Struthio camelus: one gene and its partner. The protein of the gene in region 1 purifies or fractionates together with the protein of each later gene. This does not show direct contact. Links are inferred from orthologs where the notes say so. Each region holds a gene or a part of one and is shown in the gene's direction. Other genes may lie near its edges.

Region 1 (7,541 bases):
ACTGTTCAGGAAACAAAAATCTATTTTTAATCCTTTCTAAACGTATGATATCATCATTATATGAATTGGTATGCCCAACTTACCACACAATCTGTAAGCTTCCCCCATTGTTCATAGTAGTTCCTCAAGCTTTCTTCTGTTGTTTCAAAGCTTAAGCCACCAATGAACAGTTTGCGAAACTGCTCCTTTTCCCTCTATCACAGAAAAGAAGTTTACATTAATACAATTTACAGCATTTCCCCTACTGCACAATTAGACAGTCAGTGAGATTTTCTTAAGAGTTAAAAACTTTCCGTAGAAAGCATTTTTCAAGATAAGATTAGGCGGTTCTACAATGTTTGACTTCTATTCCAGAAATTAAGCAACTTGTGCAATTCTATGATATAGATTTTAACAATGTACTTTTCCCATCTCTCCCTCCAAACATTAAAAAAGAGACTACATTTAAATACTCCCAGAAGAGGAATCCTCCCAAAGGTCTTATCAGAAGCTTTTTCAGGTTGTGCCAGGAAAAACAATGCTGCGAACTAACAAAACGTTCTCATTACAGGTAACACCAACCCGTTCATACTGTATGATTCTATTCCAGATAGCATATATTTTTAAAAAATGTTCTGCCTCAACTTGCTGCACATGAATACAACCATACTATTTTCCCAAGACATTAAAAAACAAAGAGATAGCTTTAGACCTTTTACAACAGGTCATTGATTCATTTTCCCTTTATTAACTCTTTAAAATGTATAAAACTAGAGTATTTGCAAAATTAATCTAGGTCTGGGATCGGGCACCATTGGAACTAGAATAAAGTAGGCTTTACATCTATTATTTTGCATACAGTATACACCAAAGCAGAAAGAAACAATCTCCCAACCTCCATCAATTGAAAAAAAAAAAAAAAAAAAAAGAAAATATAGTAAGGCATCAAAAAGATCATTTTCTGTATGACAGTGTGTCACTAGATTAGGCACTCTGTAGTTTTCTACGTCAAACAGCAATGGTTTAAAAAAAAAAAAAAAAAAAGAAAAACAACCGCACACAAACAATAGTCCTATTTCACAAACTTTAAAAGACATCAGACTCTTGCTCTAAAGAGATATAACTGTCCTGCCAGGTCTCCTGCCAAATAAGAGTTCGAATACAATGACTATTTCACCCTTATAATGATAAGTCATTTTAAAATCAGGAACACCTTTTTTTTTTTTTTTTTTTTAAACACCTCCAGCACGCCACCATTCGCTACAACTAAGCAACACACCATAACTAATTATGCACTGTGCAATAGGAGAAATGCAAAAAGGATATTAGAAAACCAATGAAAAATAATGAGATTTGGAAAACAAACAAAAAAGCCTAGTGCAGATACTTTGAAAAGTGTTAGCCAATCATCCTGCAGGCCAAAATATGCTTTCTGAGCTTGTCCAGAGCAGATAGCATCTAGAATCAATTAACAAGGAAGACCATTATTAGAAGCAATACTGAATCAGTTTTGATTAAAAAAAAAAAAAAAAGAGATCACTATCACCAGCTGAAGATACTGCATTCAGTCTGAGAAACAAGTCAACAATCATAAAAACAATTTTGATATAAATGCTGCATTTGAGAACAATCAATTTCAGTGTCACTCAGAAACGCTAGATCCTATAGCGGGTTCCAAGTATTTTCTAAGAAACACAAAGGAAGCTACCTTCTCATTGTGCAGATGGGCAAAATTTGTCACAACATAACTTAAAAGGGGTAAACCCACGTTACCGTTTCTTTCCTATGAGCTCTTAAATGGAATAAGGGGTGGTGCATACCTCATTTGGTAAGTCACATGTGGCAAGGCATGCATACTATTATTTAAGAACCCAAGTAAGCTAAGAAATCATTTAAAGTAATGATACTGCAAAAAAACCTCTCTCTTCACATTAGTCTCTAATTTTCTAGCAGCAGAGCTGAAGTACTTGCTACAGTTTCACACGACCAGAAAAGAACACTTCTCCCTGTATAATCAATTACCACATGTCTAATAATGCAACTAGGACAGAAATACGCAAATTCAGGCAAATTCAGTAGGCATACTGATATTTCTCATAAACGTTTATCTGTGAAAACAGCGACAGAAATTTAAACGAAACTCAAGCAAAGAACGCTACGAGCCATAAAAAGTTGGTTTGATTATTAAAGGACAAACATGTATCATACATTACTAAAAAACATAAAACAGAAAAATGAAACACTCTTGCATTCTTAAGAATTCTCACATTCATCATCTCCTGTGTATTAGTGTCATACAGCATGTGCCCTACCCAAAACCAACATCTAGGCACCGCATACATGTCAGGACATAGCAATAAAAAAAACCCTATCACTTCTTGAATCAAAACCACTGTGTGAAAACATCATAAACATGCTGTTCCACTAATACAGGCAGAGCCTCTGAACATAGTCTATTTGCATTAAATGTTGTTTAAGAGGCTCAAATTCCTATCTAGAATTAACCTACGACCAAGATCCAGAGAGCTCTGATAATCTTTTACACGGTTCACGTTGAAGCTGTGAAACATATGATATAAGCTATTATCCTTCCAGTCCCACTCAGAATCTTCATGAAAACCCTCATTTGGTAGCAAGCTAATATAAAAGACAGAATAAAAAAACTCCTTTAAAGACTTCCAGAGTGCATTCTACCGCAGTAACAAACTGTGAGAGAAAATCTTTTGGAAATCTGTAAATCTTCCTTAGGGCTTATTTTAAGCCTTCCTTCACAGGCTAAAAGCAACACTTCAAAGGACTGGAAAACATGAAGCCTACACTGGAAAATCCATCACCAGACCAAGTAAGTGCGTTTCGTGTCATAACAGCATGGGTACAAATACTCCAAGCTGACTGCAGACTTCTGCAGAGTTAAGAATCCGAGTAACAAAAACGGTTAACAAAACAGGTAAGTGGAATCTCTGAGCTGGCACTGCCCGCCAAAATGGAAACTGCCAAGCGATTACACTTCCCCAGATTTACTGGCCCCAAACCAGAAAGACACTTCCAACCACTCGCTATGCAGTCGCGCCCCGTTAGCCCCTAACACCTCTTACATGGCTTTCCGATCCATCAGTCTACGTCCTCCCCCTTCCCCCGCAGCCCGGTATTATCAGGAGTGAAGCGGCTGCCATGCCGGCTCCGCCATGTGGCGGCTATCAGGAAAACAAGGGCCCCCGCAGTTAGATGAGGAAAATGGCGCCCAGAAGCAACCGTTGCCTCCAGGGAAAGCGATGCGGCGGGAAGGAAAGAAATTCACAAAGAACCGACGCCAGAATAAAGAAGCTAAGTTACACTCGGGCCTTCAGGAAAAACACAAATCAGTCGCTGCAAACCGCTTCTAGCGTCCGGCTACACACGCCTTACCAGGGAGAGCTTGCAAGCGATTGCTTTCTGTTCCCATAAAGATAACAACGGCAGCCTGGCTCTCAGCCTCTACTGCTCTCCCTCCCTACCCCCTTTCCCCTCCTAGGTCTCATCCTGAAAGCCTCACGCACGAGCGAGTCTCGGCGCCGCCATTTTACCCCTCCCCCTCGTTACCGCCATTATCAGCAGCGCCACCCCGGCCGCTCAGCGTCCCGCAGGGCAAAGTAGAGTCCCGGATCGCGCATTAACTGACCTCCATAGTGGTGTGTGTCCCCCTCTCCCTTCCCCGCAGCACCACCCTAACGGCAGCTCAGCTAAAGGACATGTCGGGAGATTTAAGAATTCGTACCCGCACGCACAGCTACCGCAGCTTCCGCCTCCCCTCTCGAGTGCGCACCAGCCCCAACCGCCGCTTCCAGAACCTTCCTCCCTGCTAACGCTTCCTCTGCGGAGAGGCACCTAGCCGCTAGCCGCGCCGCCGCTAACGGGGGTCGGCAGCAGCACCCAGACCTACGCTGCCCGAGGACGACTCTGCTCCTAACCCCCCGATCCTGAAAAAGCACTCCATCTCCACAACCAGACACGCCACCCTCCCTAACAGCCGAATCTGTATTTTTCCCTTTTCACATACCATATTCTTCATGGTTTACGTATCCCTGCTTGAGAATACCGCACAACTGCTCAGTAATGGCTGCCTTAACTGTTACGTAATTTGAAATTCAGCTCCACGTAGTGCTAGCGCCCTCCTTCTCCAGCCCAGACTCGCTGCCGATGTTTTAGTCAAAAAGCTCGAATCTGGAGCTTAAATATCTCCAAAGGGGCAACAGTTCTGTATAACGCCCCTATGTGTTTTAATCACGTAATAAAAAGTCATCAACTCCGTTAGTAATGGCTGTCTCCGGAATGAGCCGAAGGAGCTGTCGTCGTCGAGCTTATCCACTTCGACAGTCGCCGGAAAAAGCCGAAATAGGAAAGGAAGCCCATTCGATTCGCTTCGGCTATTTCCGGAATTTGCCGAAACGGACAAGAATGGCGATCCGATCCCACTCGGCAATTTCCGGAGAGAAAGACGCAGCAGCCATCGACGATACAGCGCCTTCGGCAGTTTCCGACAACGGAAGAGCTTTCTAATACGTGCCCGAGCGGAGCCGAAACGGCCCCGACCAGACTTGGCACCGCGTCGTGGGTGGTTTTTTTTTTTTTTTCCGGAAATTGCCGAACCGCCCCGAAGACTCAACCTCAAAGCAAGGGGGTTATAATTAGCCAAAGGGCTCGTTCCCCCCCCCCACCTTTACTCCCCCCCCCCGGCCACCTGTGGTACTGGCAGGGCCCGGGCGGGAGCACAGCGCGGTGCCTACGCGCGCCCCCGACATCTCCCCTTTTTGTCGGCGGGTTGGCCCCTTCCCCCTCCGCCCGGGTAGGAGGAAGTGATAGCTGCCCAGATTTTGGCGCCAGCACCGAGACATCGCCGGGGGCCGAGAGCCAGCGAAGGGAGGCGGACTTCGCCGCAGCCTGCTCCGCTCTACCCCGCAACACGGACAGAAAACCCATCGGGCAAGCCACTCACTTAGACATTTATTTCTCCTTCCTCCTTTCTTTCCCTCCCTTTTTCTCTCTTCACCGGCCCCGCACACACCGCGACAAAGGGTGAGTGCCGCCGCCCCGCGCACCAGGGAAATGGCGCTAGGGCTGCTCCTTTCTTCCCGCCCCCTCTTCTCCTCCCCCTCCTCCCAGCTCCCCGGGAAGCGACCCCTCTCCCGGAGCGAAGCACCCTAAACTGACTCGGACCCGTTTCCCCCACTTAATAAAGGGCTTTCTAGGCCCCCAACCGCTTTCCAACTCCCGCTTTCCTCCCTCCCCTCCCCCCTCCCTGGCGCTCGCTCAAGACTAGGCCGCCTCGCCGCAACGCGGGAAATGGCCGCGCTCCAAACGGCCCGGGCCCGCCTCAGCAACGGCAAAACGAACTTCAAAGCCGCTCAAACGCTCCCTGCCCGCCTTCCCCGCACCTGGGGATCGCCCCAGGCGCCCCCCCGCACGGACTGAAGGCCTCGCTCGCCCTGCGGCGGGCGGCGGCCGCCCCGACCCAGCACGCCCTCATGGCGATGATCATCATGGCGGCGGCGGCGGCTACCGGCCCGCCGGGCCCGTTTCCCCCTCCCGCCACTTCCCGCTCACCCAGTCGCTTTCTCTGTCGCCGCGAGGCATCTTCCTTCTTTTGGACGCTTGACGCGGTCCTGCACTCGCCCCCCGTTGGAGAGACGTCTTGGCCCCCCTCCTGTACTGGCGGCGACGACGGGAGGAGGTTGCAGCTCGCGCGTAGGCGGCGTCGTGCGCTCTGCCCCGTCAGTCGCCGGCACGCAGAGCTCGCCCAGCCCAGCCCCGCCAGCAGCCGCCGCCTCCCGCCCTGCGCCGCGCCGCGCCGCGCTGCCGCCCAGCCGCTGCCGCCCCGCCCTCCCCCTTCCCCTCCCCCACCCCCCCCTCGCCCGCCTCAACCCCCCTCAGATGTCGCTGTTGCCGCCGCTGCTCAGTGCGCGCAGGGCGAGAGCGAGGAGGAGACGGGAAACCCGAGCGGCTTGAGCACCATTGAAGTCTGTATCCTTCTCTCTCTCCCTCTTTCTCTCGCTTCGATAACCTTCCCCCCCCCCGCCGCCTCCTCCTCCTCCTCCCCCCCCTTCCCGCCACGGGGGAGCGGGCGCCCCGCGGAGCGCTCCTGCACCGCGGCCCTCGCCTCAAGGCCACGGCGGGAAAGGCGGGGGGCAGCCCGCCTCGCCCCCCTTCCCCCCCCCCCCCGCCGCCCTCAGCCGAGCGCTGCCGCTTCCTTGGCGGCGGGGGGTAACGGAAGGAGCGGGGCTTCGTGGGGCCCTGGCATTTCCACGGAGGCCCCTCGGCTGGCGGGGCGGGGGGGATGAGGGGGCGGCGGCGGCCCCCGCGCTCGCCAGACAAAGCGCGCCCGCCAGCGCCGAGGGGGCGGCCTGGGCCGGCCGCGCCGCCTTCAGGCGCCAGGCTCCGGGCGGCGGCGTGCGGGGCCCGGGGGAAACGTGGCGGCGCTGGGGGCGGGGGAGGCGGGCGGCGAGGGGGCCCCGGCCCCGCGGCGAGGGCGCTGCGGGCGGGCGGGCGGCTCCCGCGGCCCTCGCCCCCCTCCCCCGGGCCGGCCCGCCTTAGTCCCGTTAGCTCGGCCCCGGCCGCCTCGCCTGCGCCCGCCGCAGGCCTGAGCCGCTGCGCTGCCCCCCCCACCGCCCCCAGGCCTCCCGGGGGTTATTCCGTTTTATTTTCGGGTGGGGGGCGGGGGGAATTGCTGCTTCTCCCCTCTCCCTTGCCTTTCAGACGGAGACATGGCATGGCCCACCGCGCCGGGGCCCTGATCCCTGCCCTCCCACCTCACCCACCCCACCGCCTTTGGGGCTGCCAAAACCCCCCTCTCACATAAGAGGCGAGTTGGGCGGGATCGCAGAGCCGAGGAGGCTTTCTGGCCTTGGAGAAGGACTTCTCTTGCCTTGCCCGGGCAAATGCAAAATTGTAACAGCTCTATAGTTTGCAGTCAGGCGGGGATAATACATGCCTACAGAGGTGGCCAGTATGAGAAACGACGTGGAAAAGGGGATGGATCGCGTTCAACATCATTTGCTTAGGTTACATACATAGTATGTACAGCTTAGCTGCTGAGTTAGTATTGCTATAGGAACCTTAACTCTTGCAAACTTGAAAATCAGAAGGCAACGTTATAGTTGCATTAAGATAACGTTTGGCTGTTGATAAGCATTTACTACTATGTAAGAGTAATGGGTGACTCCTTATTACACTGCAGATATGTAGCTGCTCCCCACCAGATTCGCAGTTAATACATCTAGGTATATCTTGATTAACTGCTAGAATCTCTACTCTTCTTCTCTTGGGTTTAAGGAAATATGCATCCCTGATGGTCCTCCCCCTTTTCCCTAGAAACATCTCTGAGCCTTAGAAGGCCTTGGGAAAACCTTTTTTCAACTCTATATACGACTTTGTCGGTATCGTGTATCCTGGCTAGCATAACGGTGTGTTACTGGGTTACGCTGGACAAAGTAGTAACCTACTTTTTGTTCTGGATTTAATCCGTATTAGGAGTGTTATGTGCAGTGAATACATGGGGGTTGGAACAAGGACCATGCTTGTATTGGGAT
Region 2 (7,210 bases), on another chromosome or scaffold:
ATGCTATGGTGGTTAAAATACTGCTACCTTGTCTACAGTAAAGTTAACATCAGATGAACTACTTTAGGGGTAGTAAAGATAGAAAATTTCAGAGTATAATGTAGTCAAAACCAACATGAATGGTTAAGCAGATGACTTAGGTGGATTGAAGGGAATAAGAGAAAAGGAAGATGAAATAAAAACAGGCTTAGCAAGAAAAGAATTTTCACTTTTGATATATCAGCCAAAGACTTAACGTTTTAGACCAAGAGATCATTATCAGCTCTAAAAACTGCAGTGACCACCTGTACAGCTATCCTCAGCATTCACTAATGACAGGACAATGATGATATAAGTGATACACAGTTTATATAGTTATGTGCATCACATGCACATTACTTACCAGAATGTGGAAACAAATGATATACAGCTTCTACTAAAATATCTTCAAAGAGTGCTTTCTGTATCACAGAGCATGCTTCTTCATATATTTTCTTGTTTACTGTTACTTGAGGGGTTTTTTGAATGTATCAAAGGCTTCTGCTAAAATATATTTGAGATTTTTTTCTCTTCCAAACATTAATAGCATTCATTAATGCTATTAAAATGCTTATTTTAAAATATCTTTTTTTTTCCCCTCTTTGCACATGGTCAGTCATCACTTGCAGGAGGGTGTACTAAGGCTATGAACAAAGAGGAAGATGAACATGCAATAATCAGAACCAGTGGAATACACTTTATCTCAGTGTCCATCCTTGCTGGGCTGCTGCCCAAGTTGGGGTCCTGGCGCTGGATGGAGTCTATAACCTCTGCACCGTGTTCTCAGCAAATACTTCATTGCTTTTTAGTTCTAGGACATGTTCTTCCAGCTGTTGCAAGCTGTTGCAACAGTAAAGCTCTAGAAAAAACATTACATTTTATTGTGGTAGTTGCCCTAGTCTGTCTTCTACTAGGATTGCGGAGTAGGACCAGCCCTGACAGCTAGATCCAGGGCCCCTCAAGTCCAGCGTTCTTTCTACGTTAGAGGCCAGAAAAGGAAGTTTAGGGAAAGAGTATAAGAATGGTGCAGATATTAAGGGTTATCTCCACTGATGTGTTCTTCCTTCCACTCCTAACACTTGGCTTTGGGACTTTCTGAGCCCACGGTATTAGGCTTGGTTTTCTTGCTCAATAGCCCTTAATGAACTTGATGGATTCTTTTCTTTCACTTCTGTCTAATCACACTGAATGCTCCATAACATCTGTATCCCCTTCTTAGTGAACTCATCTGATGTTTTGGGGGTACACTATTCCACTCTGACACCCACAACTTTGCTGGAGAGCAAAAAAATTTCTGCCCTGTAACTTCATGTGCTTCCCTTTCATTCTGGGATTATGAGAACTAAGCCATAATCATTTCTTATCTGCCTGCTTTTACTATCACAGTTTTATAGACCCTTATCATATTCTTCCTCAGCCATCTGTTTTCCAAGCTCAGGAGTCTTAGTCTATTTAATCTCTCTTCATAGAGAAGCCATTCTATATTGCTGCTAATCCTAGTTGCCCTTGTTTGTATCATTAACTATATCCTTTTAGAGACGGTAGGACTAGAAACACAGTCTTCAAGATTTGTGGAGGCACAATGGACTTAAATTCAGCAGAATACTGTTTTCTGTTTTGCTTTCTATTTCTTCCATAGCAATTCCTAACATTTTATTTCCCTTCCGATTGCCACTGTATTGACATTTTCCTAAAAATATACAATGATTCCAAGATTTTTTTCTGCAAAACTGATTTAGAGACTGTTCTTGCAAATCATTTGCTTTTGTCTGTCCTTGAATGTGTTTTCAGGAACTTTGCTGTGGCTTGTCTAGGCACTTCTCAGACCCAGGAACCTGATGACTGCATGGGGGAACACCTGAATGTGTGTGGCGGTAAATGTATGTGGAGCCATGCTTGTATTGTCACAAAAGCTTTCTTGAGGCTATGGCTTTGAGGAAAGATGTTATTTCTGAAATGCGTTTAGGAAGCAAAATGCCTGAAGCAGGCTTCTAGTCAATTTAACCTCTCCACAGCAGAGCTAAAGGTATCTGAAAAGAATGATTTTTTGTAAAGGTGTTGCACAGTAAAAGACTGCCTTTGCTAATCTGGGTAGCAGAGCATCCATGTAAATTCTGCACTAGAGGAAAAGCCCCAGCAGCAGCAGTTGGGTGACTTGATATCCAGGATTTCAGGGTTTATCAGCTGTACTCAAAACTCCGTGTGATCATACGTAAAGTTTTACAGATAACATTTTTTAGCAGTTACCAGTGGTTATTTGTGTTAAGTAGAAATTATTTAAGAAGATAAAATGGCCATTAAGTAATTTGCCAAGTGATACTTCATCCGCTGTTCTCAACAGCTCTATAGAGAAAAGGTTTCTAAGATATGTGAGCAAATATTACTAGACTTTTTTCTTCTGTTTCAGTGTGAATATTCACTGCATTTCTAGAATGATGATTGTTAGAATTTAAGAAGATCTACGGAAAATTAAATCACTGAGTCCATACATCTTAGTCAAACCATTTTAATTAATTCTTCCATTTTATTCATCTGTTAGAGAGGCAATATTTACTTACATAATTCAAGAGTGCTGTGAGTGATAATTAATGCTTATAAGCAGTAGTATGACTACAATGAAGAGCTGGGTACTTGGCAAAGGATTATTAATTTTATTATCATCCTTAAGACTGTACTGAGATATTGTAAATTATTGAAAGATAGCCAATTACCATGCATTTTCCTGAGATGACTTTGTAAGGAGAGTGGTTACAGTGTAGAAAACTCATAATGGATTTGTAAAACTGAGATCATTTTCCATGGTTTTTGCCCATGCTAGAAGCAAAAAAGTTAAAGTTATTAATACATGCTGATTAAGACAAAAATGTACTAATCTGTCTTTTAACTTGTACCTAGGGTGACTCATTTACTGCTTGCTGAAAATTCCCTATCCTCTACCTCAATGATTTTCTAGTCACATGCCAGAAATGTCTGTAACTTGAGGAAAAAGGTTATGGCCAATGATAGGGGTTTCTGAAGTTTAATGAATTCCCACTCATTAATGAGCTGCTGAATCTGATCGTGTATGACCTTCCGCCACAAAGAACATTAGCACGTCAGTTATCACGGTTCAGCAGGTGATGAGCCACTTGCTCAGCTGTGGTTACGCAGTGGCTTTGAATGGGCGGGCATTCGTACACAAGAGTGCGATTAACTGCAACAGAGCTGGATCAAGAGGTGCCTGGTCTGAACACTTCCAGCTACATGTTCTTATTCTTCTCAGCTATACTGATCCGAGTGTTTGGATAACTGTGCTCTGAAATAGGCTACAAAATGAATCTCATTAAAAAAAATCTACTGACGTCACAGTTTTGGGAAAAGGTGTTTTCTAAGAACGGATAATTTTATAAAGCTGGTTCAGAATACAGCTGCAGCTGGAGAATGTCCCCATAAAGATTTAAGGTGGTTCTGTTAATATTCGGCTGCAAATGGTTATTTGGACTGATTTCCCCGCGCTTCCCATGAACACAAGCCAAATTAGACTGTGAAGAAAATGCAGTTATTTCCATTGGCAATCATTTCTTATGCATAATTTCTTCCTTGTATTTGACTGCTTTTCTAGACGTTCCAATTTAGGTTCTTGATGAATTGAGAATAAAAGATTTCCCTATTCTAAACTGAAAGATTAAATACAGAACAAAGACTGTCTATGAGGGGAAATAATGTTATTCTTTGCCCTTCACCAAAGAAGGTGAAAGTGCTAAGTAGGAATCTAATCCAGCCCAGAGCAGGATTCTGTTCTTCACACATCTGCCAATTGTAGGGACCGTTAAGCCTCCTCTGCTCTTTTTTCTGACGTTTTGCTGTTTTGGGAGCTGGAAAGAGCTGTGGTTTAGCTGAAACAATCTAGAAAGTCGACGAAGTTAAGGCACTCTCCCTAGTGGTAGCAATCTCTAAATTATTGGAGAGTACAGTCTCAGAAAGACATGCGATTTTGTGACAGCTGATTGAATTGTACTAGAAAGCTACCAGCACAGGAACGCCACGCAGGAAGGAACGGTGCTGTGAACTCAGCAAGCCGGCGGCTCAGGAGACTATCTCATTTAAGACTCAACAATGCCAAGGCTGAGTTTTTCAGACTTCATTACCAGTCTGCTTTCTTGGCATAGGAAACCAATCACAAGGACGATGGTGACTATTTCAGTGTCTTGATCATGCCGTTGACTTTGAGGATCATGTTAAAAAAAACCCTGCAGCAAGAGAGTGGATGCATTTAGTATTATATGGTGGACTTCCCCATATTGTGTGTGTCACAAAATCTTTTTGTTGCTTCCAACGAGACACTAAGCCTTTGCTCCCTTTCTTCTGGGACAGCTTGCCCTTGGAAGCATCTAACTAAATCCTTACTCAAATATACTTTCAGAAAACAATTTCTCTGGCTGCCGCTTTTGCCCCGTGAGGAACCTCGCACTGTGAGGAGGTGTGGGATGGGAGGTGGCGGGAGGCCCGTCGGCCCGCTGCCAGAGCGGGCACAGCATGGCGGGCGCCCCCGAGCCAAAAGGAAGGCCAGCACACGGGACACCCCACGGGGGACGTGGAGGCGAGGCGCAGCGAGACGCCGCGTGCGTCCTTGGCCCCCGCATGCCCCCGGGCGGCCCCAGCCCAGGCCCCAGCCCGGGCCCTGCCCCATCACCGCCGGGCAGGAAGCTCCCAGCAGCCCCCTCGCTCCCTCCACAGCGGCCTCCCGGGGGGGCTCCCGCCGCGCTCCCAATGGCCAGCCCCGGGCGAGGGGGCGGGGCTCGGCCGCCTGACGCAGTTTCAAACGGGCCAACCGCCGGGCGCCGAGGGAGGGCGGGCCGCCGCGCAGTCTCCGCCTGGGACTTTAAAGCGCCATTTTGTGCCGGGCGGTAGGATATCGATCGTCGCTCCCCACCCGGCGCTGAGGCGGCGGGCGAGGCCAGGCGGCGGCGGCGGGCGCCCGGCCGCGGCGGCGGGTTGCGAGCGACGGCTTGTGCTCTGCCTTGTTTCCCCTCCTTCCCTCCGCCTCCATGACCCGCAGCAGGAAGCAGGCGGCGCTGGAGAGAGGAGCCGGGAAGATGAAGCAAGAAGCGGGGAGCGCCGCGGGAGCCGCGGCGGCGGCGGCGGGGGCAGCAGCAGCAGCAGCAGCCGGTGACGGCGGCGGAGCGGCGCCCGCCGCTTGGGGGCTGGACGGGGAGGCGGAGAAAGTTGTGTACTCGCGCTCGCAGGTCTCCTTCGCCGGCACCAAGGCGCTGGGCGACGCCCTCAAGCTCTTCATGCCCAAGTCCACGGAGTTCATGAGCTCCGACTCGGAGCTGTGGAACTTCCTCTGCAGCCTCAAGCACGAGTTCTCCCCGGTCATCCTGCGCAGCAAGGACGTCTACGGCTACGCCTCCTGCCGCGCCGTCGTCCCCGAGCCGCCGCCGCCCTCGGCCGAGCGGCCGCGCCGCCGCGCCGGCAAGCGGCGCCTGCCGGCCGCCGACGCCAAGCGCCGGGCCGTGGCGGCGGGCGGCAGCGCCAAGCGGCGGCGGCGGCGGCGGCGCCGGAGGAGGGCACGGGGGAGGCAGCGCGCCGCCGACGCGGCCGCGGAGCCGGCCCGCGACGGGGAGGAAGCGGCGGCGGCGGTGGCGGCGGGGCCGCCGGGCGAGGAGGACAGCGAGCGGGCGGGCGCGGCGGAGGGCGCCGCCTGGGAGCCCTTCGGCGGCAAGTCGCTGGAGGAGATCTGGGAGGCGGCCACCCCCCGCCTCACCACCTTCCCCACCATCCGCGTGCGGGGCAGCGTGTGGAGCCGGCGGAGCCTGGCGGCGGCGCGGCGCCGGGCGCAGCGGGTCCTCGGCGTGGACCTGTCGCCCGTGGTGCGGGTCCGCCGCTTCCCGCTGGCGCCGTCCTGAGGCCGCGGGGCCGGGAGGGGGCGAGGACGGCGCCTCACCTTCGCCGCGGTGCGGACAAAGAGACCGGTATCAGTCACCTGTTTACATTGCTTTTGTCTGGATCATGTTCTTCTGCTGCACTTTATGCCTCGCTCGGGCCGGGGCACCGGGCCCCGCCGCAGCCCGGCGGCTCTGGCCTCGCCGCCGCCGGGGCGCGGCCAGACGCGAGGGACTGTCCGGCCGGCGTCTCGCGTGGGGACCAAGTTCCACTTCCACCTTTTTTCCTCCCATTGGGCTACCTCACTGGTCCAGAAGTCCACCCAAGAAGTTATTTTCCAAAGGAACTTACTTTCATGCTTGTATAATAAAGCACCATCTGATTCTTCCTTTTTTTTTCCCCTTCCCCTCCTTTCCTTTTCTTCCCCCCCCCCCCCCCCCCATCCAATGGATTATGTATGCTTTGTGGTGTTGCACTAGTATGTGCTCAGGGTATTTTGAATCCCAAGCATTCCCGAGTTTCAGTTTACTCTGATTAAGGATGCATAAAGAATGGAGGTTCAGGACTTGTGGCAGTTCTTGATGGTGCAAAAACTTTTTTTTTTAATTTCATGGGCTTAGTGATATATAAAGATGTATTGCGCAGTATAATTGTTACACTTTTGTATCTAAAGTCATTTTTAAAGTTTTCTAGTTGAACTGAGTATTTGTTTCTATTGAGCACCTAAAGATAGAATCATCTTGATATTTTATAACCCTGTTTACTTTAGGGAAGCTCATTTGGTCAACCGAAGTGAACTTAATAAAAGTCAAAGAAAAGTGATGTTTCAGTTCAGTGAAGCTGACTGCACAGGCATGGGTTTGCTGGTGAACTACACCATGTATGTCACTTAACGAAGACACAACTGGGTGTTTCCAGTGAACAAGCTCAGAGGTGGTGAAGAATGTATCTGCTCATCAAAGCAATACATAGGTGTCTTAAGGCATGCTATCATATGATGTTGTCACAGCAAAAAGGCTGTAGTTCACACGACCCGAATATCACACTGAAGTGCCTATCTCTGCAAAAAGGGGCAAGACTTCATAACGAAACAGCACTGGTTGTCATCTTGGGTTACTAGGTGACTCATGGTGGATAATCATATTAATGTAATTACTTGCACATAAATATTTTATGTAAACTTCTCTTGGATTTCACTGTAGCCTCTGATGCTAGCTTCATCAGCTTAGTTATTTCGACTGAAAAATAACATTGTCACTCTAAGGGGTAAGCAATCTTTGTTCAAACTGTCTTTTTAAGGGCTTTGTTTTGATCTTGCACCTTGCAG

What was found. The genes of interacting proteins can lie anywhere in the genome.
Region 2: the proteins of CBX3 (region 1) and CCDC71L purify together in Homo sapiens (affinity purification with mass spectrometry; 3 studies listed by BioGRID and IntAct, with this or other methods). This does not show direct contact. The link is inferred for Struthio camelus from reciprocal best matches to the Homo sapiens genes CBX3 and CCDC71L.

Annotation. Positions count from the first base shown.
Region 1 is NC_090943.1:38,642,215-38,649,755, forward strand, and holds the start of CBX3 (chromobox protein homolog 3), read left to right. Parts: upstream 1-4,520; 5' UTR 4,521-4,938; exon of another isoform or gene 4,939-5,031; intron 5,032-5,559; coding exon of another isoform or gene 5,560-5,589; exon of another isoform or gene 5,590-5,692; intron 5,693-5,702; exon of another isoform or gene 5,703-5,976; intron 5,977-7,094; exon of another isoform or gene 7,095-7,232; intron 7,233-7,541. Other genes in the region: HNRNPA2B1 (heterogeneous nuclear ribonucleoproteins A2/B1), read right to left, coding at 84-194, 5,560-5,589.
Region 2 is NC_090942.1:15,913,806-15,921,015, reverse strand, and holds CCDC71L (coiled-coil domain-containing protein 71L), read left to right. Parts: upstream 1-4,879; 5' UTR 4,880-5,045; coding exon 5,046-5,906; 3' UTR 5,907-6,705; downstream 6,706-7,210.